Linked DNA regions of Diceros bicornis minor. The protein of the gene in region 4 interacts with the protein of the main gene of each other region in a biochemical or structural test. Links are inferred from orthologs where the notes say so. Each region holds a gene or a part of one and is shown on either strand. Other genes may lie near its edges. The genes, in order: ubiquitin-conjugating enzyme E2 E1, UBE2K, SNCA and NEDD4L.

What was found.
Region 1: the proteins of NEDD4L (region 4) and ubiquitin-conjugating enzyme E2 E1 form a complex in vitro, tested with the Homo sapiens proteins (2 studies listed by BioGRID). The link is inferred for Diceros bicornis minor from reciprocal best matches to the Homo sapiens genes NEDD4L and UBE2E1.
Region 2: the proteins of NEDD4L (region 4) and UBE2K form a complex in vitro, tested with the Homo sapiens proteins (2 studies listed by BioGRID). The link is inferred for Diceros bicornis minor from reciprocal best matches to the Homo sapiens genes NEDD4L and UBE2K.
Region 3: of the proteins of NEDD4L (region 4) and SNCA, one has a biochemical effect on the other in vitro, tested with the Homo sapiens proteins (3 studies listed by BioGRID). The link is inferred for Diceros bicornis minor from reciprocal best matches to the Homo sapiens genes NEDD4L and SNCA.

Annotation. Positions count from the first base shown.
Region 1 is NC_080741.1:28,971,226-28,979,049, reverse strand, and holds the start of ubiquitin-conjugating enzyme E2 E1, read right to left. Parts: upstream 3,015-7,824; 5' UTR 2,864-3,014; intron 1,765-2,863; 5' UTR 1,732-1,764; coding exon 1,580-1,731; intron 1-1,579. UniProt on the Homo sapiens protein: Accepts ubiquitin from the E1 complex and catalyzes its covalent attachment to other proteins. Catalyzes the covalent attachment of ISG15 to other proteins. Mediates the selective degradation of short-lived and abnormal proteins.
Region 2 is NC_080747.1:32,620,444-32,627,646, forward strand, and holds the start of UBE2K (ubiquitin-conjugating enzyme E2 K), read left to right. Parts: upstream 1-4,199; 5' UTR 4,200-4,382; coding exon 4,383-4,445; intron 4,446-7,203. UniProt on the Homo sapiens protein: Accepts ubiquitin from the E1 complex and catalyzes its covalent attachment to other proteins. In vitro, in the presence or in the absence of BRCA1-BARD1 E3 ubiquitin-protein ligase complex, catalyzes the synthesis of 'Lys-48'-linked polyubiquitin chains.
Region 3 is NC_080747.1:73,699,781-73,707,785, reverse strand, and holds the start of SNCA (alpha-synuclein), read left to right. Parts: upstream 1-5,000; 5' UTR 5,001-5,059; intron 5,060-6,544; 5' UTR 6,545-6,574; coding exon 6,575-6,695; intron 6,696-8,005. UniProt on the Homo sapiens protein: Neuronal protein that plays several roles in synaptic activity such as regulation of synaptic vesicle trafficking and subsequent neurotransmitter release.
Region 4 is NC_080755.1:49,427,535-49,434,617, forward strand, and holds the start of NEDD4L (E3 ubiquitin-protein ligase NEDD4-like), read left to right. Parts: upstream 1-4,079; 5' UTR 4,080-4,405; coding exon 4,406-4,453; intron 4,454-7,083. UniProt on the Homo sapiens protein: E3 ubiquitin-protein ligase that mediates the polyubiquitination of lysine and cysteine residues on target proteins and is thereby implicated in the regulation of various signaling pathways including autophagy, innate immunity or DNA repair.

The DNA.
Region 1 (7,824 bases), on a different chromosome or scaffold from region 4:
TGAAAAGTCCCCCTCTGTAATTTGCTGACATAAAGCAGACTATTTTATATTTGACGCCTGTGTCTTCACCCCTAAATATATTTACGTACACCAGGGATCTCCAGCAAAATATAAAAATACAAATGACCCAAAGCAAAATCCTGCCTTAGTCAGGTAGGGCCAAAAGCTGACCCAGCATGGATGAGGGAGCCCAGACGAGACAGATTAAGGGAGGCTCCATCCAAAGTGGGCAGAGAGATGCCAGATTCTGGGAGAACCAGCACAGGGATAACCAGTGAGGGCCGTTAGGACTCCTGGGAAGCTGAGATGCAATCAAACCAACCCTCTGAAAATGAGAACAATCTTGTACAGGCATCTTGCCACTTAACTCTAGACCTCTACACTATTTAAAATAAGCTAAAGTCACTCCTTCATCCGCCCACAGTTAGGTCACCAAAGCACTTTACCAACTTTTCAAATTTCAAGTCAGCAAGAATGACAGAAAAAACTTTCAAACTCCTAATTCCAGGCTCACTACTCAGTGGAAGAGCTCTAAATCCTCATATTCCATTTTATTTTACACTTTTTTAAGAAAGATATGCCTCTCTAACCCACCATTTGGATTCCTTACTGTTTTTCTGGTTTGCCACTTCAAAGTTTAATGACTGTCCACCTTAGAGCAGGAGGATTTATGAAAGGGTATGGGGGGGGGGGACGACCCAGGAATCTGCTATAGATTATTTTAAGGGTCATGGGGATCAGAGGATATTACTGAAGGATGATGGAGATAAAAAGTAGCTTCTTCCAGAGACATATGAGGAGAAGAATAAAGAAAAAGAGCCACTGCTTAAATTCAACTTGAAAAAAATAACACTAGTATAGCATAAGAGAAGAGGAAATAGCATGAAAAAGTGAGTGTCCCTGAAATTTGGTAAATTGAAGTTCTTGAAGAAAACAAAAAAGAATCTCCAAAACAACCTAGATTAACCATTTTACATCATTTATTGATTCATTTGCCTCAACTCTCCAAATCAGAAAAATCTCTTTAAAGGCCATCCAAAAACATCTGTCTCCACCTATTAAATTTTTTACCTCCCTAGTATGAGTTATTCCTTATGCAATTTGTGGAGAAAGCTCTGTTCAAAAAAGATGTATGTGCAACAGGTGAGGAGGAAGTCAGATGGTAACAGAATTCATTTTGATCGAGTTGTCTGGGCAGGCATTAGTAATTAAGTGGGATGACAGCCTTGGGGAGGGTCACAGATTAGTGATTAATAGGACAAGTAATTTGAAATCAGATTTGGGGGTCACTGATAAAAGTAATGAGGATTTTTACAAACTTCAGCAAGAAATGGGAAGAGGCAAGCCACAACGACAGCATGTGGGCAATGATTAAAAGAAAAAAACAGAAAAAGCAATAGAGAAAAACAGTTAGGGCTTCCAAGCCCCTTTTTTCATTTTTAAGAACACATAAACCTTGAGGAGCACTTAAGCTACCCTCATTGGGAGGCCGACCAAATGCACCAAGAAGCAGTTCGGAAAATAGGAAGCCTGTGGGGGGAAAAAATAAAAAAAAAAAAAGGGAGAGAGAGTACGGTACCTCTTGGCGCTGGTGGAGAGGAGTTTGGAGTTTTTGCTCATGCTGACTTTACTCTCCTTCTTCTTGGGGGTGTTTGTTTCTTTCTCGGTTTGCTGGTTGGAGGACGAAGATGAGGAGGAGCTGGTGCTGGCCCTCGAATCGTCATCCGACATAGCGAACCCCCCACCCCACCCCGCAAACAGCCCCTGCAGGGGGAGAGAAACAAAACAGAAACACATCAACCATGCAGCCAGTGTAAATACGGAACTCGGGCGCTGTCAGGAGGGCTCTGACCAGGGGTGCACCCGGCCGCCCACCGCCCTCCACTAGCTTTTCAAAGTCTTCAGGCCCATTAAGGCTTTTGCAAGTCGGACGCGGCTTGTTTATTTTTGGCCCCAAGTGGGGGACGCGGTGGGAAAACGGTCAGGAGCACAGCGAGCGGCCCCTCCCTCGCCCCCCGGGGCTCCCCTCGGGGCAGGGAGGGGACAAGCCGAGCGGGCGGGGGAGGAGGGCAGGGCGGGGGCGCGGGCACCTCGGCGGGGCAGGGAGGGAAGGTCCCGGCCAGCGGCCGGCCTCGGGGCCGTTTCTGTCGGCTTTCCGGGGGTCGCGGGGGCCGCGGCCAGGAGCGGAGTTTGGCGAGGTCGGGAAGCGAGGAGGGCAGAGAGGAGTAAGAGAGGAAGCCGAAACGGGGGGACGGAGGCGAGGAGCGGGTGCCCGGGTGGGGGAAGGGAGAGGCCGGCGGGGGGGCAGGGGCGACAAGGCCGAGGGCCCCCCGCGCCGCGCCCCGACGCCCCTCCCCGCCGGCCTGCCCCTCGGCGACCCGGCTGGGGCTGCGCGGCCGGGGCGGGGGTCCCGGGCACACGCCCGACTGCCACCCTGGTGGGGGGGTGCGAGGGGGGCCTCGGCCTCCTGCGCGAACGAATAACAATGAGCCCGCCCGCCCCGGAGGAGTTAATCCCCGCGGGCCCCCGCCCCAGGGGAAACGGGGCTCCCCCGACTCCCCCTCCCCCGCTCCCGGCCCCCTGGGCGGCCAGTGAGGGGCTCCCGGGGCAGCGCTGACAGTTCGAGGTACAGTGCCCCCCCCGCTCCCGACACGGGCGGCCCCCGCACCCCACGCGGCCCGGGGTCCCTGCCCATCCCCCGCGGGCGGGCCCCGGACCCCTGGGGCTCCCCGGCCCCTCTCCGCCCCCCCCAGCCCCGTGCCCGGCGGCCCGGGTGGCGCGGGTCGGGGGAGGCGGCGAAGGGTGTCCCCGAGGCCCGGCGACGCGGCCGGGGGGCGGCGGGCGGCGGGGGGGATCCCCGTACCTCTCTTTGTGTCTGGCTCCTCCGTGCCGCCGCGGCGGCTGCTGCTGCGGCTGCGGCTGGGCCTGGCCACTCGTGTCTCTCTCTCGCTGGGAGAGAAGCGGAAGTGCAGCAACAGCAACTATTAAACAGGCAATGGCTTCCCCCAGCCACACACGCTCTCACACACACCACTCCTCCTCCTCCTCCTCCTCGCCCTCACCCCTCCCCCACCCGCCCGGTCCCACCCACCCGCGCTCCCCTCCCCCTACACACCTCCGGGGGGACGCGAGGAGGGCACAGGGGACCCCGGGAAACCCTGCCCCCTCCCCACCCACACCCCCACCCCAGCGCCTCCTCGGGACGCCAGGGAAGGGGGCGAGGGGTGTGAATTTCCTCTCAAGTGGTTCGGGGACCTGGATCCTGGGCTGGAGAGGGGAAGCCGTTCCAAGATGGGGGGCGCTGGGAGAGATTGGAACTGTATGGAATAGGGGGGTCACGAGAGGAAGTTCTTTCCAATAAGGGCTTTTGGAAACGGGGGGGGGATTGGTAAATTGGGGGAAAAGATGGTAATCTGGTGGCAAGGACTTTGGACTAGAGAATGCGGCGGGACCTCCTCCTAATAAGTGATCAGTTTAAGGGGAAAAAAATCCCACAACAGGATTTTCCTTTGGGTTGACACTGGCTTCTCCCTCTGGCGATTTACCTGCTAGGAGCAGAGGTCGGTTTAGGCACGCCTGTTAGAAAATCCCAAACTAGGACTTTTCTGCTCAGGCACGTGCAATTTTACAATTTTAGATTCTTCCAGTCACTTTTTATAGAAAGTGGTGGTATTTTATAAAAGGGATACAAAAGATTTCGTGACAGGTAAAACCAACGTGTAACAGGCTTACAAATGTGAGAAATCACTGGGAATAAACCTTATACTACTGAATTATGATTTAGAATTTTTGGTGTCAGCTTACTTTAGAAAGTTTGGTTTTTGGAAATTAGATTAAAAGTTTTGGGGACTTCTGTACCTTCCTCAACTACAATATCAATGCTATTCAAATAATCAATATTTTTAGGTTAATCACTCAGTAATTCCTCTGAATTGTTCCTTATTGAGCATTTTTACCAAGATTAATTTTTTTAAGATTAACCCATGAAATTATGACTTAGCTTCTCACTTATTTGTATTTCGGTTGAAGGAAACTAAAGAGGTGTGTGTAATGCCACACATACAAGGTCTGGTACATTAAGGAGACCGCCCAGTCAGATTTCCATGGGCCACTCTAAATTATCTCAAATTGCCATCCTTTTCCATGGAAACAGTGGCTTCAGTTACCACAGGAGGACACAAGATATAAAGCCCATGGCATATCCACTAACCAGGAAAACAAACATTCTTACCACCCACCTAAACCCTTCTAGCCTTCAACATGAAACTCCAACTGTATCAAGATTCATAAAGTAATTGTGCACAATTCCTGCTCAGTTCTTACTGGGAAACCTGTATCTACCAGGAATTGTCATAGAATCAAGGAGTCCAAAGCTGGAAAAAAACCTTATAGATCATCATTTCAGCCTCCTGCCTCTTACCTCCAGTCAGAGCTATCACTCAGTCACTCAAATGCACAGAAATTGTGAAAAGATCCCCAGACATAAGTGTTTGGTTTCGGGGATCCTGGTAGAGCATATATAAATAATGACACTCCCTGATGTGTGTTATTTGAAAACAACAACAAAAATCTCCTTAAAACCAGGTTGTATACTCTTTGTACTTCGGATGAAAAAGATACAAATTCAAGAGAAAGCAATGAACAAACATGAAATAAACTCAGTTGAGATGAATAAAATAAAGACAGTTATTAAAATGGAAACTTCCTCTTATGAATATTTGGGTTTCTGATACTTTAAAATACACGTCAACACTATGAGTACAACCAGTAAAAAATCATATATGTATAAAGATGAGAGCTGGCAGAGAATACAGGAAAACAAAAGAGTTGACTTGCTGTTGTGACCAGGACAGTGGGTGAATTTTTCACTAATTTTGGTTTGCATAAATTGTATACTTGGATACTAACTCTAATAATATTTTTTTTAAAAACTGAACATGGTTATTTTGTGTTTCATTGTTGATGCTTGGGTTGGACTGGTCCCTGGGGAAATAAATCGTATAACCGAAGGAGTCCTCTTCTATAGGGAACTGCTTTCCCAGCCACCAGTCTGGAAGGCTACTGGCCCTCTTGTGTGCTAGTCCTTATCTCTAACCCTGGTTAGTGCTTTATGGTTTAGGAATGACCTACTGAGGGGGAATAAAAACCTCAAAATGTTTAGAAAAGAATCCATTGCTCTCAAAAGACTAATCTTTATGTCAGATTACTTTAAATATACAGTTGTCTCAGTCACAAAAAAATCAAAATTCATTTGCAGCCTTCCAGGTCTTCTTACTTATTAACTACAAGGCCTAAGGACCTAAAGTGACCTCTCTGACCCTCAGTCTCCTCATCTATAAGGGGCAAAAATACCTGCACCGTACTGACTGGCAGAGTTGTTAGAAGGATCAAATGTGTATCTATAGTAAAATGATTAATTAACTGTTATGCAAAGTAAATTATTAATAATCCCACCCTGATCCTACTGCTCAGGAATTTTGTCAGGACACAGGGTCTTTATGACTTAGAATTGATGACAAGTGTAAGAAACCTCCTAGGAGAAAGATAAAGTCAAGGAATCACAGGATTTTATTTACTCAAAGGGGCCTAAGATATCTTGGAGTTCAAACTCCTTATGTTCCAGATGAAGAAATTAAGGCAAAGAAAGCCAGTACGTCTCATCCAAGGTCATGCAGTAAGTCGGTGGCAAAATTGTGGCTATGGCCCATGCTGCCCACAGATGATTTTGTCAGTTCTGGCAATATTTAGGGGGTGGGGAAGAGCCTCAATTACATTAAAGAAAAATATATTAAATATAAAAGAACTCCAGTAATATTTTCAAGAACATATTAACAATCAAGACAGTTGGGAAAGTGGACAAATGGAACCAAGTTAAAGGAATCACTGATTTTATAACATTTACTTGAACCAATTAATGAACAATATTGATGTTCCTTACACCTCATTCTGAGAATAATAATCATTATTTCATATTTATGGATATATTTCAAGTAGGTAATACATTCTCATGCTATATTATCCTAAAGAAACCAAAGGGTAAGCCACGAAAATCTGCCTCTGCCCCTCCCCCCAACTCTGTGGTAGTCTATGCTTGCAAAAGCAAATGCATACGTATACACTGGATGCTTTGATAGAAATGCTCAATTTACATTTAAAAGATGCATTCAGTCACAGAAGCCCAAGTGGTGCAACACTGTGATATCTGTGGGCTTTAAGAAAATGGGCTTCAGTTTTTACTAATACCTATTCCTGATCTCAAAATGATCCAACTCTCTTCTTCAAGCCATCTTGAGAGTATCAAGTGCATTTAAGTAGGAGCACTTGAAGATCAAGGTGCTGACTGATCCCTAGGTGAAGTGATACAGTTGATTCAGAAGAAAGAGACCCCATCTAACTTTTGAGCACTCCTATTTTTGGCTACTTGCTTACACTGAACTTAAATATTTCATAAAAGCAACAATCCTCTTTGGGGCCAATTTCACATCCAAAGAATTGTCAAGCAAATTAACATTTGTTAATATGGGTTTTTAAACTTACCTTATGACTGGATAGAAAGGATTTCCTTTTTCTGTCAAAAGAAAAAAAATCTTATGTTTGGAATTTAGGAAGAATTTCTGTAAAGGTTTTCTGAAAAGATGGACTCACTGTGGATTTCAATCTACTTGTTTTATTTTCTTTTTTTTTTTTTGTGAGGAAGATCAGCCCTGAGCTAACATCCATGCCAATCCTCCTCTTTTTGCTGAGGAAGACCGGCTCTGAGCTAACATCTATTGCCAATCTTCCTCCTTTTTCTCCCCAAAGCCCCAGTAGATAGTTATATGTCATAGTTGCACATCCTTCTAGTTGCTGTATGTGGGACGCGGCCTCAGCATGGCCAGAGAAGCGGTGCGTCGGTGCGCGCCTGGGATCCGAACCCGGGCCGCCAGCAGCGGAGTGCTCGCACTTAACCGCTAAGCCACGGGGCCGGCCCTTGTTTTATTTTCTGATGCTCCTTTGCCTGAAAAATTCATTCCTTATACGGAAGGATAAGGAAGGTTCGCAAAGAAGGGTCAATTCCATGAAGCCTAATGGGATCTGGGGCTTTTATCTTCAATTCGGGTCATTATTCCATAGGCCTTTTTTTAACACACTGATCTCTTTGAAGGACCCTAAGCGTTGTCAGACTTTATTTGTCCTGAAAGTTGCTATCACAGGAAGCTAGGACAGAGCTAAATTATTTTTTCTACCACATGGAGGCATTGAACAACCATGTGATTTTCAAAATTTACCAAGACTTGATAAGAGTCTAATGCTTTCTCAGGCAAGGGCAAAAAGGTTTGTTTGATGTTGACAAACGGATAATGCTTAGTATGAAAGCATTCTTCTCACCTTATAATTTAGCATCTGCTCTGTAGGGCCTATTCTCTAAACAAACCAGCCTTCTTCAGCCTCCTATACATTGATAACATAAGGACAGACTGTATTGGAATCTACTGGATTGCAGTTTGAGCAGTTTGGTTAGTCTCTGAAACCTTTTCTTGAACTTAACACTTTTTCTGTTTACTAAAATTTGGAGGAATGAAATAGTAGGGAAAAATTACTTTTATTTCACGCACTTAATTTATTGTGAAACTTTGTTTTAAATATCAACTTTCCCACAGTTCCATGGTGTGACAAATCTACAGTCAAGGATCCAGTTTTGAATCCAAAATTTACCTCAATAATTGCAACCCCAGAAGCAAGTGGCAGCAAAGATACTAATCTTGACTTGCTAAGCCTATATGACGAATTCTTTCTTTACACCCGACAGTACTCACGTCTCAGCCCCAAAACAATTAATCAACA
Region 2 (7,203 bases), on a different chromosome or scaffold from region 4:
AGGAGCTACAAAAAGGAAGACTCGCACATTTCGAACGTTGGCAGTTATTATCAGGGGTCAGCAAAGCCCTATTACGCCTTGTTGCATTTTTTTGAATGTGAATCAACACATCAAAACACATTGTTCTGTTAGGGGCAGCAGAAGAGTTACCAGATTAACTTTCCTTCATCATCTAAAACCAATTTTACAACTTCACATACATAATGTTTATGTAAATTATGTATTCTGAAAGGGTGTGACTTTTTAGATTTAACTCTCGTGTCTAAGCAGTACTGTATACTCAAATATACTCAGGACTCCTTTATACTCTTCAAAAATATTGAGGATTCCAAAGAGCATTTGTTCATGTGGGTTAAACAACATTGTGTTAGAAATTAAAACTGAGAAATTATTGAAATATTAATAAATAACTATAATAAACTCAGTACAGGCTTATGTAAGTAATATATCTTTAGTGAAAATAACTGTATTTTCCAAAACAAAATCTCTTTAATACCTAGCTTAACAGAACAAAGCTGGATTTTCACATATGCTTTTGCATTCAATATGTTGCATATGTTGTTTTTATTGAAGTATATGAAGAAAAGCCAGCCTCCAATATAGTTGGAAAGGGAAGGAATATTTTAATAACTTTTTCAGATAATTGTGGATATTCTTCTTTAATATTACATTAAATCAAGACAAATGGTCGTTTTGTAAAGATTAGTTGCAATGTAGAATCTGAAATGTTATCAGTGAACTTTTGGTATTCTGTTACATTAAAATCCATTGGCCCGTCTTGAACCTCCAGCGGATGTTTTACCCATGCGTGATTTTGTAACATCATGCACTGGTCACTTGGAAAATATTGGTTCAATGGTTTATGCAGATCTTCCAAATTTTGACACATTTCATTGTACAATTTCAAGCAATCACATTTGTTATTATCACCACCAATTTAATCAGAAATGTCTTTAAGTGTATTGAGAAGTTGCCAAGTTACAGTGGTAGATATGTTTTCGAAAACTAATTTTCAGTTGAAAGGTTGAATTTTATCATTGGCAACAAATTCTGCCAGTTGTTTTCCTTGAAGTGACAGGCTCACATGTTCATTTTTGATAAAACGTCTGTAAAATACCCAACTCTTAATAAAGATAGTTTGTCTCAATCGTTATTTTAAGTAAAAATGGTGTTCCATGAAAAAAGTGGCTAGTTCAGCTCACAACTCAACCAACTGCACAAGTGCTTTACCATGTACTTTGGTATGCAGTGGAAGGCCTTATGTATCCTTCCCAAGTATCACATAGACCATTAAGAAGACGTACTTGAAAGTTGAGGTTTAATAAAATTAATAATTTCTACTGCTTCATCAAAGACATTTTGAAGTGGAACTGGCATTTTTTAATAGTGAGTGTGTGGCATTAGTAAAATTATTGGTAGTACAGTAATTGTTTTTGCTCAGTATGCTTTTACATCATTCGTACAAGTGTCAACACAGTAAAAAGGCAAATAATGTCTTAGTTTTATAATGATAATAGTTTGGGCAATGCAGACTGACCCCTGAAAACATCTTACGGACACCCAGGTGTCTGCAGACTATATTTGAGATGAATTCTTCTCATCCCTGCCAGAATGTAAATCTTACAACTTGAGAGGTTTTTTTTGTCTCTTGTTCACTGATATGCCTCCAGGGTCTAGATCATGCCTGGCACATAGTAGGCACTCAATACATATTTAATTAATTAAGTAATCAATCAGAACTAGATCATAATAATGAAGAGCTTATAATCTGCATTACTGGAAACCCATTTTAAAAAATTTAGTTTTGAATAGGTAAAATATACAACAGGATACATGGTGAAAAGTCTCCCACTTTGCCTTCCCCTAGGCACTTAAGTTGCTTTCTCAGAGACAACCACTGTTGTCAGTTTCTTAACTATTTTTCCAGTGATATTTTATGGATTCACAAGCATTATATACACAAGAATATTCCTTTCTTCCCTCACGCATACGGTGGCATATTATACACATTATGGACTGCATAGTGCTTTTTTAAAAGTAAACTTTTTCTTTTGGAATAGTTGTAGATTTACAGAAAAGTTTCAGAGATTCTTGTATACTGTTTACTCACTTCTACTAATATCAACATCTTACATAACCATAGTACCATGTCAAAATTAAGAAATTAACATTGGTTCAATACTATTAACTAAATTACAAAATTTATTCGGATTTCATTAGTTTATGTCCTTTCAGTTCTAGGGTCCAATCCAGGATACCACATTGGGTATTTAGCAAAGTGCTTTTTTCCCTTAAAATGTATTTTCAGGATTGTCTCATATCAGTTAATATGCAGTTGCCTCATCCTCTGGAAGGACTGCAGAATGACTCCCTAGAAGCAGAATTTCAGGGCCAATGATTATGTGCATTTAAAAATTACCAAACCCCTCTTCCCCAAAGAAATTACCATACCCTTCTTAGCAGTCCCCCCTGTGATTTGAGTGTTGCAAGCTTCTTTGAAGTTCCAAGATTAAGACTGGGAACTGAATGAAGGTTATAAATGTAACGTACTCAAAAAGTTTCTTTGCACACTTCAGAATAATTATTTTTAATGTACTGGCACAAATACAGATATGTATCATTGCATGATTTACATTATACCAATAACTCGTACCATGACCCACATATATAGTTGGTTCCTGTTGGGACCACTAGGGGGCTCTGCTGGAAGGGTTTTTATAATTTATGTTAGTCCACTCAGCGAAATGTTTCGAGATAATGCTTTAGAATTCTGAACTCTTAAAACTCGAAAGACATCATCTATTTAACCCAGCTTCCTTATTTTGCAGATGAGGAAACCAAGGTTGGCCAAGAAAGCTGGCATGGTGGAGAGCTGGAATCAAAAATCCACTCTTGGTCCCCGTGGCAGGAGTTCAAGAAACTCTTTGCCATGTGCCTCCACTGATGATTCACACCAGGGGCTATTTCCTTTTTTGCTGCCACAATTTTAGAAATTTTTGCTACGACTATATATTTGTGATATTTTTCTAATATGATACTTTACTGATGGGTTAGGTGAAAGAAGTGCATGAAATATAAACTTTATTACTTATTCCAAAATGTTCTATTCGAAGTACCTCTCAGCACCAAAACCATATTATTTACTGTAAACCCTAGAAACTACTTTTCAATTGCCTTTCAAACTTACTTTCCTCTTAAAACATTTTACTTTTATCTTTACTCATTTATTCATTCAATATTTATTGAGTGCCTACTAGCGCTAGACACCGTTGTAGTCCCTAGGCTTCGGAAGCAAAGCTACCCTTCTCCCCAAAGAAACAACTATTTCTCCATTTTTCACTTTAATACATAAACTACCTTCACATGCCTTAGTTCAGTGGTTCTCAGAAGCAGCCAGCATCTGGGAACTTGTTAGAAATGTAAATTAGGCCCACCCCACACTTTATGGATAGGGTCCAGCAATCTGTTTTTTTAACAAGCTCTCCAGGGATTCTGATGTACACTCAAGTTTAAGAACCATGGTTTTAGTTCCACGGCTTGGTATTAGTTATCTAAGTAGGTCAAAGATCAACATCTGGCTTCTAAACCCACTTCAGGCATCTTCATGGAGTACTCGTCTCAAATACACCCGATAGGACCCAACAATGACCATATTTAATTCAGTGATTTGCAGTACCTTAAATGACCATAATAATAGTGACACTACAATGGTTTCAGAGCAAACACTGACCGCAGCGGATTTTCTGGGCCTATACCAACAGAAAGTGGGCCGGACTGAGTTCTGGGATAGTGTGTTCGTACATTAGACACAGCCGGCCACATCAAACCTCGAAGTTTTGGGTCTGGGAGTCAGGACGGCGCTGCAAGACAAGTGGGGCCGCGTGAACCCGTCAGGTTGGACCCGAGCCTTCGGTCAGAGGCTAGGGGCTGGAAGCCCGGACAACAACGCACCGGTCTGAAGATGGGCGGAGGCGCGGGAGAGGCCGCGGGAGGCCCCGGCAGAGCCGGTCAGCACGCAAGCCGCACCCTCCTGGCCCCAGACGCCAGCAGGGCGGAGCCACGCGGCCGCAGCTCGGGCAGTGGCGCGCGGCGCGGCGCGGCGCGGGCTCGCGGCCGAGGCGTATGGGGCTACAACGGGAGCGGCTGCGTCGCCCGGCCGGGTCAGCGTCTTGCGCATGCGCGGACCCGGCGCCATTTTGGTGGCCGGGCGCGGAGGTGATTCTACATTGAGGAGAGCGCGGCGGCCAGGGTGGCAGTGGCAGCGTTCGTGTGCTCGGGTGTGAATCGCCGAGGGAGGAGGCAGTGGAGGAAGCGGTGGCGGCGGTGGCGGTGGTCGTAGCGGTGGCGGAGGAGGCGGGTACGAATCAGCTGCGGGCGGAGACATGGCCAACATCGCGGTGCAGCGAATCAAGCGGGAGTTCAAGGAGGTGCTGAAGAGCGAGGAGGTCAGAAATGAACTCCCGGACATCCCCCACCTCAGCCCTGGGCGGGAGGGCCCTTCCGGCGGCGACCCCAGTATTCCCGGTAACCCCCGGGTCGCCCTCCTTGTGGCCGCCCTTCTGCCTGTGGGGAAGCGGCAGTCTCCCCCTCCTTCCGCCGCTTTCCCCTCTCCTCCTAGGGCCCTGGGATGGACGGTCTCGCGGGCGGGTGGTCTGGAGAGGAACCCGGTTTGGGGGGGCGGATGGAGAAGGGCACTTTTCTACGGGATGTGAGCTCTAGAGAGAGCCCCGAGGCTGTGGCAACAGCTGGGAGTGTGGCTGTAGGGTGGGGAGGGAGCAGGCCGAGCCTGAGAAAACCCGGGAAGTGGGTTGGGGGAAGGGGAAAGGTGGTAACTGGATCCGGAGAGCCGCGCTGCTGAAAGGCCCACACTTTTAAGGGTATTCTGGGATATAGCCTGTCTGGCCTCCACTGTCCTGTCCTTAGGTATTGATGAAAGGAGGAGGACATTCAGAGTTACTCCCTCTTAGTTGGATGTTGGGAGAGAAGAGGAGACATGATGGGATACTATCTTATTTGAGTGGGGAATAAGGGAATTTTCACCTGAGATAGGAAATTAATTCCAAATTAGAGCATTATTTTATTTGCACTTTCCCCCAATTCCTAGGCCTCTTTTCTGTTGACGTCTAAAGCTTTTTGACTGGGTAAAGGCCAGTTGTTTGGTGTATTAAAAACGTTTAAATATTTTTAGCTAGGAAAAAATAACAGTATATGAGTAGCTTATTTCAAAATATTGTTTACAAGTTACCGATCAGAGTCTCTCCTAAGACAATGCCTCTGTGACTCTGTTGTGTCGTGCCATGAAACTTCATTATGATGTCCCTCATAGTTAACTTGATTCTTACTTTTGAAAAACAGCCATATTAAAAACATGGGATTTCACCAGATTAATACATTGTTATATCTTTTTATTAAGTGAGTAGATTTATCCCAAGATACCGTATCTGAAATGATTAAAAAAAAATTTTTTTGTCTCAAGCTGCTCTTGAGTCCTGCAGAATTTAAATACTCTAGCGTTGACCACATTTATTTATATAAGATATTCAAAATGTTCTAGTAATTTGATTCAAAATTGTGCAAGCATCAATACAGTTTTTCATACCCAAATCAACAATAATGTCAGGTTGTTTTTCCTCCTTGGATTTAACAAAGATTAAGAAGTAATACTGAAATGGTTATTTTTTTCAAGATGTCACATACCATTATTGAATGTATCATTGCTACTTGTATTTTTCTCTTATGTTGGTACTTTGATAATCTCAATGATTTGTGAAATTCAGCATTCTAAGTATGTGATGAGTAATTGACATAAGTTTGATAGCACTTGAGCTTTATTTGTGCTGCTGAATCTACAGTGATTATGTATCTTTCCAATTAGACAAAGAATAATTCTTTAAAATTATTGAAAAATGACAAATACTGACAGATTTATTGAATGTAGTAGTATATAAGTAATGGTCCGTTTTACAGAGCATGTGTATGAACTCTGACCTCTGTATTTGTCCAAGTGCCAAAACTCTGAATGGAAGGATGACTTTGTATTTTTGTGGTACAGTGCAAAAACAGAGTCATAAATGTCTGTGCTGATAATCAGTGAAACAATAATTCTAACTTATTTAATAAGAAAATATATTCCAGGATAGTAGACATATATATTCTTGATGACAGTTGTAGCTAATATTGTTACCAACAGCCTAAAACATTTCTTATAACGTTGTACAAGCCTGAAACTTAAAATAAGACTTCTAATGCTTTATTTTCTGTTACTTGAAAGTGGTCAAGTTACTGCTCTCATAATTCGTCTCTGCTATATATGAGGTGACTTTTCACCATCATATTCTTGGTACTTAACTTGAAGCTTAAAAGAAATCTTGTATTGCTCTAGTAATGCATATTGTTAAAATAATACTGCTCTTAATATGTTAGGGATGATGAAGCCTTGCTTCAAGTAAATGTCATAGTGTTTTTTAGAGGTAGAAACAGGAAATGCAAACAGACAAATTATTTTTTAAGAACAATATCTTTATAAATCTGGAAGGAAACTCTTCCAGAAAGTAAATTGCAAAGAACATTTAGGAGAGGGTTAGATAATTTAATCTTGGAATGTAACCGATAAATAGCTCTATTTTCATCAATATTTTATTTCATCGTTGTTTTAGTAGGCCCAGTTCTATAAATGGTTTATGTTGGTTATTTTCAACTCATTGAAGGACTTGTAGTACAGTCCATGTGTTTCCTTTTTAAGAATGTAAATGCAGTATTTTGAATGGCTGGTCAAGTAATCAAGTATTTCATCATGTCACCTATGTAAATCTCCAGTTTACCAAAGTTTATTTTATATGTTTGTGTTTACTAAGAAGAAGGGTTGATTTATGGACTTTTTTTTACCTTTTAAGTCTTTTGAAAAGATAGCTGATATTTGCTGAATTCTGGCCATAAGAAGTTGTAAGTGGCCATTCTTGGAGTGTGGAGTTAATTAAAATATAGCTTCAAGATAAATCGAATGTGAAAAGCAAGATGCAGAATAGTGTGGAGGAGGCTGTCATTTGTGTCAGAAGGGGGGAAATCTGTGTATTTGTATAGGTGAAAAGATTAGTGAGAAATTGGTAAAATTGATTGCTTTTGGTAGGAGGATTTGGTGTCTAGGGCAACAGGCATCAGCAGATCCCTTTTGAATTTTGAGTCACGTGAATTTGTTATTTACTG
Region 3 (8,005 bases), on a different chromosome or scaffold from region 4:
CAACAAGTCTGGTAAACTTGGAACACCATTTGTTGTATCATTTAATTTTTCTCCCTTGGCAAATCAACATAACTCATACATAGCTCCACTACCGCCACTTTGAAGAAACCACGTCCAAAGAATGTAAAACTGTCAGTAAAGATAGTGAAATGTTAATTCTATCACTATTACTATATTTCTTCACCTGCCGAAGCAAATTGCTGTGAGTGATGTTGTTATTGCAATCCACACATTAAGGAGAGAAAAGAGACATTGGCAGATTTTTAAATTAACGACCCCTATCAACACTCCCTAACTACCCCCATCCTGTGTCCCCACAACTTCCATCCCTGGTTGGAAATTTTTTACTTACCATAGTAAGCTAAAGTTATTGATGGGGAGGCATCGGACACTAGAGGTGTGTTAACAGTGGGACGGGAGGTTGTTGAGGGCTGGGAATAATGTTGAAAACTACTGTAAGGAAAAAAGTGTTTCCTAGGGCACCCTAAAACATGGGGGCTAGATATTAATAATGGGTACTTGTATTGAGAGATTCCACTGTGCTCGGTTCTTTACTAAGAACCATATTATTTATTCCTTACAACAACCACACAAGACAAATAAAATATCACCCCCATTTTATAGATGAGAAGACTAGAGATTAGAGAGGTTGGATGCTTTCTCTCAGTAACTGCTACCAAGTAGTAGAGCCTTGTTAAGTCCCTGCATTTAACTTCTACCCAGTACCCCAACTCTCAGAAGTCTCCCACGCTCACCAGGGTTTAGTGCATTTTTTGAGCTCGTAAATATGTTTTTCCTTCTAATACTAAAGTCATTTGAATGGTTTAGATCCTAAAACATTTAAATATCTTTCGTATCTGGTTTTAAAGTCTTTCACCTTGGAATCTTGCATATCTTCATATTCTTAGTACCACAAAAACCACAGGGATATTTAAAATGATATCCAATTGAATTTCACATATTTCACATTACATACTTCTTGTGGTCACAATATATAGTCATTCTACATTGTTGAGACTATACTACAGTATTAGTAAATATGATAAATTACCTTGTGCTGGAATAAATGTCTATTATTTTTTCTGCCTATAGTATTGTAGAAACAATATGAAGTGCCCATAGGGTCAAATTAGAGAATATTCTTTGAAAACAATACTCCCTCTTCATTGCTCTTCATTTCTCTTTGGGGTAACCCTATTGCCCTGTTTCAAGCTTAACTGCTTTCCAAAATCATACACAATGCTATCCCAACTGTGCATTAAGCTTTCCCTTCTGTGTCCATTACGAAATTACAAGAGAAGCCTACGAAGATCTCTCTACCGCATGTTTCTCATACATTTGCAGAAGATGAGAGGAAGGTTCAGAAAGAGAACAAGAAACAGGTGGCCCAAGAATCAACATTGCCCCTTGTGTTCACAACGAATACGGAATATTATCCAAAGATAGTAAAGATTGTATTTTCCTCACTTAAACACATTAAATCAGTTCTTCCCCTCTCTTAAATCACTTGGTCATGGACAGCTTCATTATTTTTCACACCATTCCGTTCTGCAGCAGAAGCTTACCGCATGGCACGCGTCAAAAATCAATTATTTTACGGAGAAGAAAGACAAAGAGAGTCTAAGTTAATCACGCATTTCATAGAATATTAATCATGCATTTCATAGAATGTTAATCTATAGCTAAATTACTATTTTAAACCCAGATAAAACAATAGTATTGAAGAGCAGCAAAATATGTATATTTCATTTATCAAAATGAAAACCAAACATGTATATAGCAATTATTAACAAAATGTGAACATCAGTAATACTTCCCAGTAAGTTATTCTTCCATCCTCCTCGTGAGGTACAGGCCATTCAATGAGATTAAACTTCAAAGTCATATTCAGAGGATTAAAACTGTACTCAAGGCCATGCTGTCAATCAATGATGACAAGAAAAAAAATATTTATTAACTTCCAATTCCCTTCTTTGTTCTTGAGTAGTTCTGTCTCCTTAAGAATACAGAGCTAAGAAACTGCAGGTAGAACATAAGAAATGTCGCTATTAATACTATCAGTAATTAAAAGTTTATTGAATGCTTGTTGTGTGCAAGGCACTTTGAGGTGTGAAAAGAAGAGTAAAACAGAATTATAATTCAAAATGACAAAAGTTGTTTCACAGTTCTTTCTTTCTTTTTTTTTGGATGGTGAGAAATCATCTTCCCCTACTGAGAATTACCGATATAGAAAAGGCAAAATTTCAAATATGAATGTACTGTTTTATAATAACATAAATTCTTCATTTTCATTGTCACATCCAAATTCGAAAACTATTTCTAATAGAACTGGGTCCCACTTTTTCCCTCTCATCCTATACTACACCCAATCAGTAAGGTTCCAGAGAGTAACCGCCAATTCAGAAGACAATTGTGCCTTTTGGAACAGTTCCTGCTAGATTATCTCAGCTCTGCCACTCAAGAGCTGTTATCAAAATTCTTTGAGCCTCAGATTCCCTGTCTATAAAAGATACCTAATAAAACTTATCTTACCCACTTGTTGTGATTAAATGGTATAGTACATTAGTCCTTTACCAAGCGTAAAGCTGTGGAATTGTGCAATGCTATAAGAAGCACAAAAAGTAACAACTGCTTCAAAATAAGTCTCTCTTTGGTCTGCAGTGGGGCTTAAAATATCTGTCCTTTTATTTGCCCCTTTGATTTAAAGCACTAGGTCTCAAGAAGGTCTCTGTTAAACTATAAATATGTTACATGAAATAATTAAATAATTGTCATAATAATCTATCAAGGTACATATTTGTGACGGGTCACAGAGGAAAACATTTGTTATTAGTAGCAATAAAAAGAAACAAACTACTGATACATGCAGCAACATGAATGAACTTCACAAATATTATGCTGAATGAAAGATGCCAGACAGATACGAGAAAAGTTCATACTGTATGATTCCATTTTTATGAAATTCTAGAATATGCACAACTACGACAGCACAAGGGAACTTTCAGGGATGATGAAAACGTTCTAGATCTTCAGAATGGTGTGGGTTACACTGTTGCACGGATTTTTCAAAACTCGTTTAAAAGAACACTTATGATCTAAGTATTTTACTATACATAAATTATATTTCAATTTTTAAAAGGACCATCTAAAAGTTATTGTCATTATTTTAAAATAGTTCTTATGTTTTACGGATGCATGCCTAAATATTTGCAGATGAAAAGATATATGTAGTTCTTGAGATTTAGTGAAAAAGAATGGAGAGAGGGCAGTGATAAGAAATGGGGAATGGGTGGGCATATAGATAAGACATGATCAGCCATACATTAAAAAATCATGGATGTTAAGTGACATTCACATGAGAGTCCTTTACTCTCTACTTTTGGATATGTTTGAACATTTTCCATAATAAAAAGTTGAACAGAGAGGGGTCATCTTGGTTCCTCTCCTTTTACAAAGAAAGCGGAACAGGAGGACATAACTTGTTCAAGGTCTCAAAGCCAGACAGCAAACCAGTTCCCAGTTTAACCTTCTTCCTCTGATCCCAAGGAAACAAAATACAGTCTGAGCATTTTGGAAAGGCTACTTGTAAAAAGGGCAGACAATAGTGCAAGGAGTTGTTAAGCAATATAGACAGTTGCTTTCTGCCCCTTTTGGTTTCAAACGGTTTTGTAGATTTAAATTGCATTTTACTCAAATTTCAGAACCCAAGTGAGTGCAAGGATCAGGGACAGCATTTTTTTTTCCTAAGAAAAATAAACGCAAAACAAATGAAAACATACAGCAAAGACTTGTTTTTCCCTTCCAGGGCTAAAATCATCCTCCCAATCCAGGCAAAGAAAGCAAAGGCATTCTGTTAGAGGGAGGAGCTTGGTTCTCCATTCTGGTGTGATCCAGGAACAGCTGTTTTCCCTCCAGCTCTGAAAGAGATGAAAATATGTTAAGCAATGCAAAAATTTTCTTGAAGCCCGCGCGCGCGTTTGCCCGTATGTCTGTGTGTGGGATGGGGTTAGGTGTCAGCTCCGAGGGCAACGTGAATCAGAAGTCAGAAAGGTGAGCGGTGTGTAGAATCTCCCTTTCAAAAGGGATGGAAGAAAGAATTGGATATGACGGTTCGGGAAAATAAACCACGCTGGATTTGTCTCCTCCATCCAGGCACTTGAATCTGAAAAGTAAATTCCGTTTCGAGAAGGAAAAGCTGTATATAGCTGCTTGGTTTCGACGGCTGGGGAATATTTATTCCTCGTTCCGCTGATGGGAAAAATCGGCGTCTGGCAGCCGCTGATTGGTGGAAAAGAAAATGGTGATAGTGGGGTGGGAAGAGGATTTGACGAGCCTCCTCCTGCCTTCTCAACCTGTAACTCATCCTTGCTACTCTCCTCCCCACCCGCGGGACCCCGTCGGGATCATGAGAGGTTAAGAGCAAACGAAAATCTGGCAGATATTTAAACAAAAGCACCTTTAACGTTGTCTCCTACGACCATTAATCAAATTTCAGCGATCCGAGGGAAACGTGCTCTTGGCGATGCCGATGTGAGCATCCTTCCTGAGCTGCCTGCCTTCTTCAGCAGCTCCCCGAGAGATTGGCTCTATCTTTGGCGGTCCATCCCTCAGGCCCCCACTCCCCCAGGTTGGCTCTGACGTGGGGGTCCTCGTGAGGAACCAGAGGGAAAGGCGGAGACAGGGAAGGACGGGGGATGGGAAAGAGAGAGCCATCAGCCCAAGCCTAACCGCTCCCGATCCCCGCAAGAGTCCCCGTGACCCTGAACTTGCAGTGAAGCGCAAGACACCCCATTTCCCGCCTCCCAGGCCCAGGCGGGCGGCTGGAGTTGGAGGTACAGCCTTCTCCCCGCCCCCCTCCCCATCCGAGAAGAGGAGTGAAGTGCACGCGGCAGGGAAAGCAGCGAGCGCCGGGCGAGGGGCGGGGAGAGGCGCTGACAAATCAGCTGCGGGGGCGGCGAGCGGAGGAGCGGGAGGAGGAGGAAGGGGAGGAGGAGGACCACGACGACGGGAAGGGGACCCGAGAGGGGGCGAGCGACCGAGCGCGGCGACGCGGGGTGAGGTGTGTGCTGGTTTTAGAGCAGACCCGGGGACCGAGCCTTGCCCTTAGCATCCTTCGCGCTCTCTCCCCGCCTTCCCCTCCGACCCTCTGTCTCTTTCTCTCGGATCCTCCCGTGCGGGGGACGAGGAGTGGCAATTCGACGACAGTTCGCGGGTTCGCCTCCCACGCCCCCAGCCTCTCTTTGCCGGGTTGTGCTGACAGCAGCCTCCTCTGGGGACAATCCCTCTCCTGGTACCGCCTCCGCCCTTCCCGTCCGCTCCTTATCCTCCCTCTTCCCATTTAAATAATATTTGGAAATTGTTTAAATTTGTTTTTAAAGAGGGGGTGGGGTGGGGAATCGGAGTTCTGAGGAGCGGAGCGACTCAGGTAAGTACCTGTGGATCTAAACTGGCAGCTTTGGAAATCCTGGAGAAAACCTGGTGGGAGAGGAGTCATTGTGGACGCCTGGGGGCGGGGGTGGGGTGGGGGGGAGGGGGCTGCAGTGAGGACCCGCTGTGTCAAGTCTCGGAGGTGGGTTCTTATCCCTTTGGTGAGCTTGAGGAAAGTAAGTTGCCCTGGCTTTCCTCCTGTTCCGGTATTTCACTCTTCTCGTCCTCAGAGGCTGAGAGGTCAGGCTTCTCCCGGATACGCTTTTCCTTTGGGAAACGCGAGGATGCTAGGTGGAACGAGAGCGTCCAACTTTTATTTCTCTCTTACTTGAAATCCCAGTCCGCCCTCTCGGTTCTCTTTGTAAAGTAAACAAGCTGTGTTTAGCAGATAATTAAATGGAAGTGCAGAGAGGGCAAGTCAACAGGTGGTAAGGGGTTAACAGGTGCAGGTTCGGGTGGGTAGCGGGTTCACGTGCGCTGAGAACGCCCCCTCGGGCGGCTGGCGCGCGTCTGGAGACGGCCGGCGGGTGTGAACTAGCGCCTGCTCAGAGCAGATAGCTGCGGGCGGGGATGGATGGTCGGGTGGATTAGAGCGAGGGCGGGTGGGCTGCAGTTGGCCTGAAGTGCAGCCACACCCAGAGTGAGTAGTTCTCTTCCCTCCCTTCTCCATGATCAACCTGTTAGCCCTTTTCTGGGATTCGTTTTAAGAGTGCCCCTGACCCCATGCCTCCAGCTCCCTTTCTTTTCCTGTGATGTGTCTTTTAAACGTACTTCTAACTTGTAATGTCACCATTTGGACCCTGGCAAGTTGAAAGAGGGGGTCCATCTTTTCATGCAACTCACTCAGGAAATGCAAAATTAGAACAGCTCCGGTGATTCATTCTAATCCGTGTTTAGGGGACTAGACTTTTACCAGCCAAGATGGATGGGGGATGCTAAATTTTTAATGCAAAAGCTAAAAAAGGCTTCTTTGTCCAATGGCTGAAGTAAGGGTGCACTTAAAAGAGTCTCGAACTTTTGTTCTACTGATCTTTCCGTGGGTTTCACCTTGGGTACTTCTAATTTCGTTTTGTTTTACGCAAGAATTCTCGTTCAAAGTGTATTTTGTATTCTCCAGTGTGGTGTGGTGTAAAGGAATTCATTAGCCATGGATGTAATCAAGAAGGGACTTTCAAAGGCCAAGGAAGGAGTTGTGGCTGCTGCTGAAAAAACCAAACAGGGTGTGGCAGAGGCAGCAGGAAAGACCAAAGAGGGAGTTCTCTATGTAGGTAGGTAAGCCCCAAATGTCATTTTCATGTTTATTTATGGCTGATGGGTTAGGATGATTGATACTCTAAATGCTGGTATTTCTCCCTTGATTCACTTTTGTATTATCACTTGTCAAAAAGATGGACTGAGTCAGAGGTATGTGTGGGTAGGTGAATGTGTATATTTGAGCTAATAGTAAAAAGTGGGGCTAATCTTTTGTTTTTCCAGATTAATTTTGCAGTAATACTTAGGACTTTGTTTTTTTAATAAATGTTTCTGTGCTAAGTGACTATATTTCAAAGGACACTTTTTAGAACTCAATCTTTTAAAAATAATCAAGACTATTCTTAATCAAAATCGTGCATGAGCCTTTGTTTTTTTTGTCCTCATGAATAATATTTGATAATTTTAGTGTATTCTTATTTTAAACTTTGGTATGGCCCTGGGATATGTAAAAAGAGACCTACTGTGACCCTATAAAGGAAAGAACAGAAGAGTCTTTGGTGGAGTTACTTCTTATGACCACTTGGTACGCTGGGGTCTAAGAGCTCAAGAAAGTGCTTGAAGGCTGCTACTAATATCTCGGAGACATTTATATAGCTCCTTTATTAAATGACACACACAATAAATAATGAGATTGATGCTTGTCCTTTCTACTTGTTCCTAAATTCCCACGTGGGGGTATTCATGCAGACCCTGACTATCTTTTCTTTATCTTGAACTGTGTTAGGTTAGGTTGGATGTTATTTTACAAACCACTTCAAATTCTTTAGCGAAGAAATAGACAAACAGATATACACACGCTCTCCACAAGGATACACTCACACACACTCACCCACTGCCTATTCTGCCTCTCCTATTTCTTCCTGCTCCTCTGAGCTCTGCCAGGGTCTCTGGTGGCAGCTGTAGCAGCAGCAGCCACCGGATGAGCAGGAAGGTGCAGGAGGGGCACGTTGCGTGCCATAGGGTGCTATGCCCACGTCTGTGGGGTGAAAGGAAGCTACACTCTCTCTCCACCGTAGATGGGCAGGAGAAAGGGTATACTTGGAATGATTTTTATGAATGCTTCTTTTATTGTTTTTTTCTCACTGTTCATAGACTCTTTTTAGGTTGACTTGATCTTACAAATCTTCAGTTAGATTACTCTTTCTCTATCTTGAAACATTTTTTCAGAAAATCATCAAAGTGTTTTACAAGAGGAAGAAAATTGATGAGTTAATTTCAAGTGTTTTTGTGAAGTGTGAATGATAACTTTTTAGATGGAATTTGAACTACTGAATCAGTGACATGCAGATCATCTGTATCTTTATATTTGTCCTGTTTTCCATGT
Region 4 (7,083 bases):
ACATCACAACTGGAATCACCCAAACCTTGGGTGACTTCATACTCTTGACACTGACTTCTCTGAATGGTCAAGTGAATCCCTAACACACTGCAAGTTGCTGTTCAGAAAACGGCCTTCTAAAGATAAGTAATAAATGACTCCAATGTTCTTACCTTATTTGTTGGACTATAAACAGCAGCAGGCTACTTGGCTACATCAGATTTCACCTGGGGTTCTAAACACTAATCTTGATTGGTTTACAGGCTTCTTTTCCTAGATTCCCCAAGGATTGAGGTCCATTATGGAGGGGACACTAAAATTTGGGCTGTCTGTTTTGCTATGTGTGGCCATATAGCGATTGTGTGGTCATCTATGCAATTATAAAATGTAAACTTAAGTATTCTTCCAAAGCCATTGATCAGAGTACTAAAATATTAGTCATGCAAAGCATATCTCACTCTCCCCACCTGGTACCACAAAATATTTTCTTTTTTTCTAATTTTTTTTGTTTATTTTTATTTCATTTATTTTTTTCCCCCAAAGCCTAAGTAGATAGCTGTATGTCATAGCTGTTGTATGTCATAGCTGCACATCCTTCTAGTTGCTGTATGTGGGACACGGCCTCAGCATGGCCAGAGAAGCGGTGCGTGGGTGCGTGCCCGGGATCCGAACCCGGGCCACCAGTAGCGGAGCACGCACACTTAACCGCTCAGCCATGGGGCCAGCCCAAAATATTTTCAAGTAAAGGTAAAACAGTTTCATTCCTCTGATCCTGATCTTCAACCTTTTACAGCAGGAAGTAGCTAGAGCGGTCTTCGCCCCCATTCCCCAAGATTGAGGAATGATCATAAGACAATGGGGATTGAAACCGAGCAAGAAGAGGTTAAAAAATCTTCCCTGGGCTAGAAGAAGAGGGCAAAAACTTGGAGATAAGCTTTGCTAACTGCAGCTGTGCATATTCAGCATAATCAACTGTTGTTTAAAACTAACTAGGTCTTTCTGTCCCTCCTTAGTATATGAGTGAGCTGTCTTTCCCAGGAAATCAAGGTCCAGACATCAAGATTTAGTCTCACAAGGCCAAACACAGGCTGAAGATGAAAACTAACCAGAAAAGTCCAGACAGTCAAGGGAAAGAAATTCAGTCTTCAAGGTCAAATGCAAGCTGATGAGAAGGTGCCAGCCAGCACGTCCTCATGCTCCCCCTCCCTTTCCTAAAACCCCAGCACATGCTCTCCCTCACAACCTTTAAAACCCCTTGCCTCCCATCATTCGGGGAGACGGGACAAGTTTGAGAGCTCTTGTCTTCTGGCTGACATCACCCAAAATAAAAACTTTCCTTGCCATAAGCCTGGTGTTCTAGTTTTATTTGGCCTCTCTTGTGTGGTTGGTAAAGGACCTGGGTATGTATCCAGTAACATTTTGTCAGATTGGAAAAAATAGGACTCACGTATCTATATCTCAGATAATTTATTAGATTTTAGAGTATAGAATGAACAGCACATAAGTCTTCAAAAGGTGTTTCTTAAAAAGCTTAGCTATTTTAATACAAAAAGATTAGTTCTCCTGATGCCCACGTGGCACCTCCCACCAATTAAATCAGAGTATATGGGGGTAGGATGTACAGAGCAGTAGTTTTAAAGATCCCCAGGTGTTTCGATGTGCAGCAAAATTTGGGAACCATTGGCCAAGGCCACTATTCTCAACTCTACATGCACATTAACATCACCTAGGAGGCTACTGAAATTACTGATGCCTGTGCTCCCACCCTGACCCAATGAAATATAGTCTCTATGCTGGCGCCTGGGCACGGGGTCATTTTAAAGTCCCCCAGATGATAACAATGTACATCCAGGGTAGAAAACCATTGCACTGGGGGAAAGCCAGTACATAATTACACAGGAGATTGATTTTGTTTTTTATGAGTTCTTTTATGGCTTAAGGCCATAAAATTGGTCCTGAGTTTCCTGGTGGCCAAAGCGAATAGAAAAACACAATCAGTTGACATAATTCTTGTCATCCACAATGCAAAATCTTACCAGTTCCTTGGAAGAAAGAAAGCTTTTCCTCATAGGTCTGAAATAAACGTCTTGTTTGAGTCTTTTTACAGGGGACATTGACAGATGTTACGGATCACGATTTTATAAACCCCTACAATAAATGACACATGGCAGGTTTCATACTATAGTTCCTAATAATCATCCCTCAGGGAAAGCCCAGAGTGCAGGCAGGTGCCCGCTGTTGCAGGGGGGAGGTGTGGGAGCAGGAACGACGGAGAGAGGACAGAGAGAGGAAGTAGGACACACCTTCGCAGTTCCCACATGATATGGCCTCAACCAAGATAAAGCCTGGAACTGTGCACTTCCAGGGAGTAGAAGGGGTGACCTTCGTAATTAGAAATAATTTTCTATTAGAAAAATTTAAAGATCTATTACATTTTTCCCCATACCATAAACTGTACAAAGTTTGACAAAGGCCTGGCTAGTGAGGGTAAAGAAAAGTGTATTAGAATTGTGTATGCCTGCGCGCGTGTTTGTGTGCGCGTGCGCAAACCTTTTGTTTCTCAAAAGACAAAGAATCTAGGTCTGAAAAGGTGGAAAAACTTTTCGCTTGGGAAGGATAAACAGAGACCTGTCTTTTTAAATCTCCATAAAGACGATTTTTTTTCTCAGTTGGGCTTTTGTGGCATCTAAGTACTGTCGATTTAATGGCTCACAATTTGTAGAGAGGAAGGCTTCTGAGTCGGGTGTTGACTCCATGGGGCCGAGTCTTGAAACTCATTAGGCGTATGGCACACTTTTTAAGCCACAGTAATGTTGTAGGGGAGTAAAGGAGAGTTTAGGATGGGTGTGCCCCTTTTCTTTTGCAAACAGTCTAGCTGGGCAAACAGCGGATAATTTAGTCAAGTAGCTGGGTTGGGCAGGAGGATTCTTTTGGATCATGTGAGTTCTTTCTTAATTTACCTGAATGAAAATCCTAAACGCACCCTGTCAATATGCAAGTAGGCACTTGGATGTTTTCTTTTCAAAGGCAAATTGCATGTTCTGCTTCTGTTTTCTTTTTGAACTCACAACTGTACTTAACATCTCAATTTAACGAAAGTCTTCCTGAAAAAGTCGAGTGACGAATTTCTTTCACTTATTTAGTTTCCATCATCCCTATAAATCTGAAAGATTAAATGAACTACTTGCTAGAGAAACAGTAGCTGGGATGTGGGAAGAATCCTTCGGCGGCTAATAAGACGTCTTAATGGTTTGCATATGCAGAGGATCACCTTAAACTTGAGTCTGATATTTCACGTTGCGGCTCACAAATGAGCTGCCTTTTATTTAAAGAACCATGCTGTCTGTTTTCGAGTGGGTGGGTGTGTACTCAGGGCGGGCGCTGTGTTGGTTTTGTTGCCTGTAAGGTTGACAGAGGCAGTGGCGACTCGCGGCCACACCGGGGCAGCCTCTCCCTGGCTGGCGGCCGGGCCAGGCGGATCAGCTCCGGTAAGCTGACAACGGCTAAGTCGGGTTTGGCTGAGGGTGCCAAGAATTTAAAGGGGTCTAGAAACATCCATCTTTCCCCCTTTAACACTTGCCGCGAGCTCAGGGCTCTTGGTAAAAAGACTGTGGGGAAGAGGAATGGACTGAGTGCTGTTTCTTTTTGTGCGTGTGGAAAATGCCTTCAGCGCCCCCAAATGCCCAGTGCGCCCCCTCCTCAACGCAGAGCGAAAGCGGGAGAGGAAGGTGGGTCAGCTCCCAAAGCCAAGTCCGCACGGGCGCTCCGCGGCGGGCCCGCCCCGAGGCGGGGGGAGCCTTGAAGAGCCGCTCCGGAGGCCGGGGGTGGGGGGTGGGGTGGGCGTGGGGACAGAGCTCCGGCGGCCCGCAGCCCGCGGCCCGCCCCCCAGCCCGGACTGTGATTGGCTTGGGGGGCGCGTGTGCCCGCCCCGGCGAGGCGGGGAGGGTCCCCTCTGGGCGCCGGGTGGGAGGAGGCGGAGGAGGGGGCGGAGAGAGCGGGGGCCTGGAGGGAGCGAGCGAGCGGGTGGCGAGCCGGGTTCCAGAGATCGGAGAGCAGGCTCGGAGAGGGGCGGAGAGCGGCGGGCGAGCGGGGAGGAAGGGAGGGAGGCGCGGGCCGCGAGGAGGGAAAGCCCGGCGGACTCTGCGCCGCCGCCGCGCGCAGGAAAGGCGCCGGGGCTGCCGCCCGCTGCACAGCGCGCTCTCGGGACCGCCCGCCGGCCCGGCCCCGCAGCCTTCCAGGAGCAAGCGGCGCAGGCAGCGGCCGGGGCGCGCGCGCTCGGGCTCCCTCACCTGCCGGCGCTCGGCGGCTCCCCCGGCGGGACGCGCGCAGGGCCGGCCGGACCTGGAGGAGGAGTGAAGACCCGGCCGCCCGCGCCGCAGCCCAGCCGCCCGCGAGCGCCTCCGATCCCGCGCGGGGTGCCGGATCCATGGCGACCGGGCTCGGGGAGCAGGTCTACGGACTTTCGGAAGACGAGGTGAGCGGCTCCCCTTTCCTATCCCGGACTCCCCGGGGAGTTTCTGCCCCACGCCGGCAGGGGGTGAGGACCCCTGGGTCGCGCGTCCCGGCGCCTGTAGGGAAACACCAAACGCGGGACCGCCCGGGAGCGGAGTCCCGGGGGAGGAGGTGCTCCGGCCCTTCCGCCGGGCGCCTGCGGCCGCCTCCCCCCGCAGCCAAGCTCATTGTTTGTAAATAAAGCGGCGCGATGCCTTTCCAGCAGGGGGGTTCACTCGGCCGCTCCCCGCCTTTGGGTGGGAGGAGGGCGCGTGCGCCCCTCTTCCCGCGTGTCCCCCTCCTCTCCAAGCCGCGTCTCCCGGGGCTCTTGGGCAACTTTCCGCCTCTCGCCCCTGCAGCCCGGGAGTCCATGATGTGTGCCACGTTTGGGTCTCGGCTGGAGACCCGCGCAGCGCGGGGGAGCCCGGGGCCGCGGAGGAACCTGCATTGTCTCCCCCTGGAACTTTCTAATGATTGTGTCAGCAAGTGCTCTGCTGGGTGTGTGCGCTTGCCACGTGGGAGTGGGTGAAACGCGTGGAGCTGTGTGTCTGCCCCTCTGTCTTGCAGTCTAAAGCCAGGAATGTGGATTTCGGGGTCTTTCTGGTGGGGGGAGGAGGTCTAGGATGGTGGCAGGTGCTACTGGCAAGTTGGAGGAAGCTTGCAGCCCTGCCAGTTTTTTCCTCGCAAGGATTCAAAGCCCAGCACCTCCGGGGTGGGTGGAGAGACGAAAGCTCAATTGATCCTTTTTGTTAATAAAGCAAATTAAGTAAGCCACGCCCCCAGGGCTGTCGGTTTGCCTGGAAAGGGCTTTGTTTTCATCCTCACTCTCCTCGCGGTTTCCCACTCCCCCCTTTTGAAACGATCCTGCTATTTCACTGCTTAGCCCTCTCTCGACCAGCCACGCTCGGCTCTTATTGGTGTGTTGCTCTGCTGAAGAGGGGAGTAGGGGGCCTGTCGCGGGCGCGGAGTGACAGGCAGGCTGGATGGAGCAGGTAGGAGGGGTTTGCCATCTGGCGGGGTGCGCGCTCAGGTCTGGCTCCCCTTTCGAGAGGTGAATTTACAACCTATGAAGCATTACTCAGCAGGGAGGTATTTCCTATCCTGGTTGTGCATTTCATGAAAAGTTGGTGCCTGGAAATTTAAGGATTTCTGGATTTCACTTTCTTCTTCCTCCTTCTTTCTTTTCTCGGGCCCCCTCTTTCTGTGGGGATGGGGGTGGGGTTAATGGAGAGGCTATTATCTGAGACGTGCCCACGTTATGGCTCCTCTGTCACCCGCTTGCCTGCTCCGGTATGGTGTGTATGTATGTGTATGTGTGCTATGTAAGTGTGTAATGGAGTAGGTGTCTTAGGGTGGGGAGGGTGTTTGGTGGATTGACTCTTTTTCTTAACGGTTCTAGGTAAAGCTTGCCGTGGTATTTATTTTATCAAAGAATGATCACAATGCAAATAATGTGTGATTTGCATTTTCGATTATTTTGCCATGCTTGTGTAAAATAATTTCCCTTTTATGTGCAGTTACCTGGGGATGTGTGAAAAGTAACATTGTTTCATTTACCCAGGGGGTTCTTCTCTCCCTGGCTTCTCTTTGAGGAGCTCTTTCATTCTCTACTTCTCCATTTAATTAGTAGAGGGCAGGGGTGAGCTTTTAGAAAGGTGCTGAGATGCAGACATAGCTAAACAAAGGACTTGAGGTATTGTGCGCCATGAAGTCAGCTGCATTTTATCTTAGGTCTTTTTTTTTATTACATGATTATTTTTAAAAGCTTTCTGAAAGAAATATATTTTACAGTGTTTTGGGAAATGTAACTGGGTAAATGAATCCCCTGTGTGTCTGTTGTTTGTTCTTTGTTTACATTTATGACTAGTGTAAGAATCTATCTAGAATGCAGCTTGCCACTTTGGATGAGTTAATACTGATCTTACCTGGTGTCTAGTGTAAAAGTGAAGGATGGAATATGAACAGAATCTGTGTGTGTGTGTGTGTGTTTGTGTTTGTATATGACTGGGTTCACCCCTACATATTGCTGGAGGGGTATTTGGGGCTGAATAGGGACTAGCAAGAGATGATGAAGACATTTTATTGATTGAGTGATTGCTATGTTGCTGGCACTCATTAGTTGCACACCCATTATATTACAAAAGACAAGTCACATCTCGCTTCCTTTTTTTCAGCTTCTCCTACCAGTGAAAAAAATAAGGCAGGGCTTTTTTGATGATTGCACATTTTTATGGTCTTTGCTTTTTATGGGAGGTTTCATGCTGTCAGGGTGCCCTTCGGAAAATCAGGGAATACCTTCGTAGAATATTAACAACAAATTGTTGAATTTGCACAGCTTGGTTTGTCTCCCTGAATTAGTCTCTGTAAGAAAACAAACAGAAGATTTTAACAGGCTTTTAAAGTAGAATGCCTGATGAGACAAACGGCGGGCTTGTTTTTCCAAGGCGCGTTAAATATAGGTGCACTTCAGTTCACGCTCTGTGGAACGTCACACGTAAAGGTATTTTGATCACCATATAGAAGAGTCACCTTATAAATGTCTAAGCAAAATAGGCATCCATAGCTAGCAAATTTCTTAAAAGTAAGTTTGTGTTTTCATCGGAGGTTGATGAA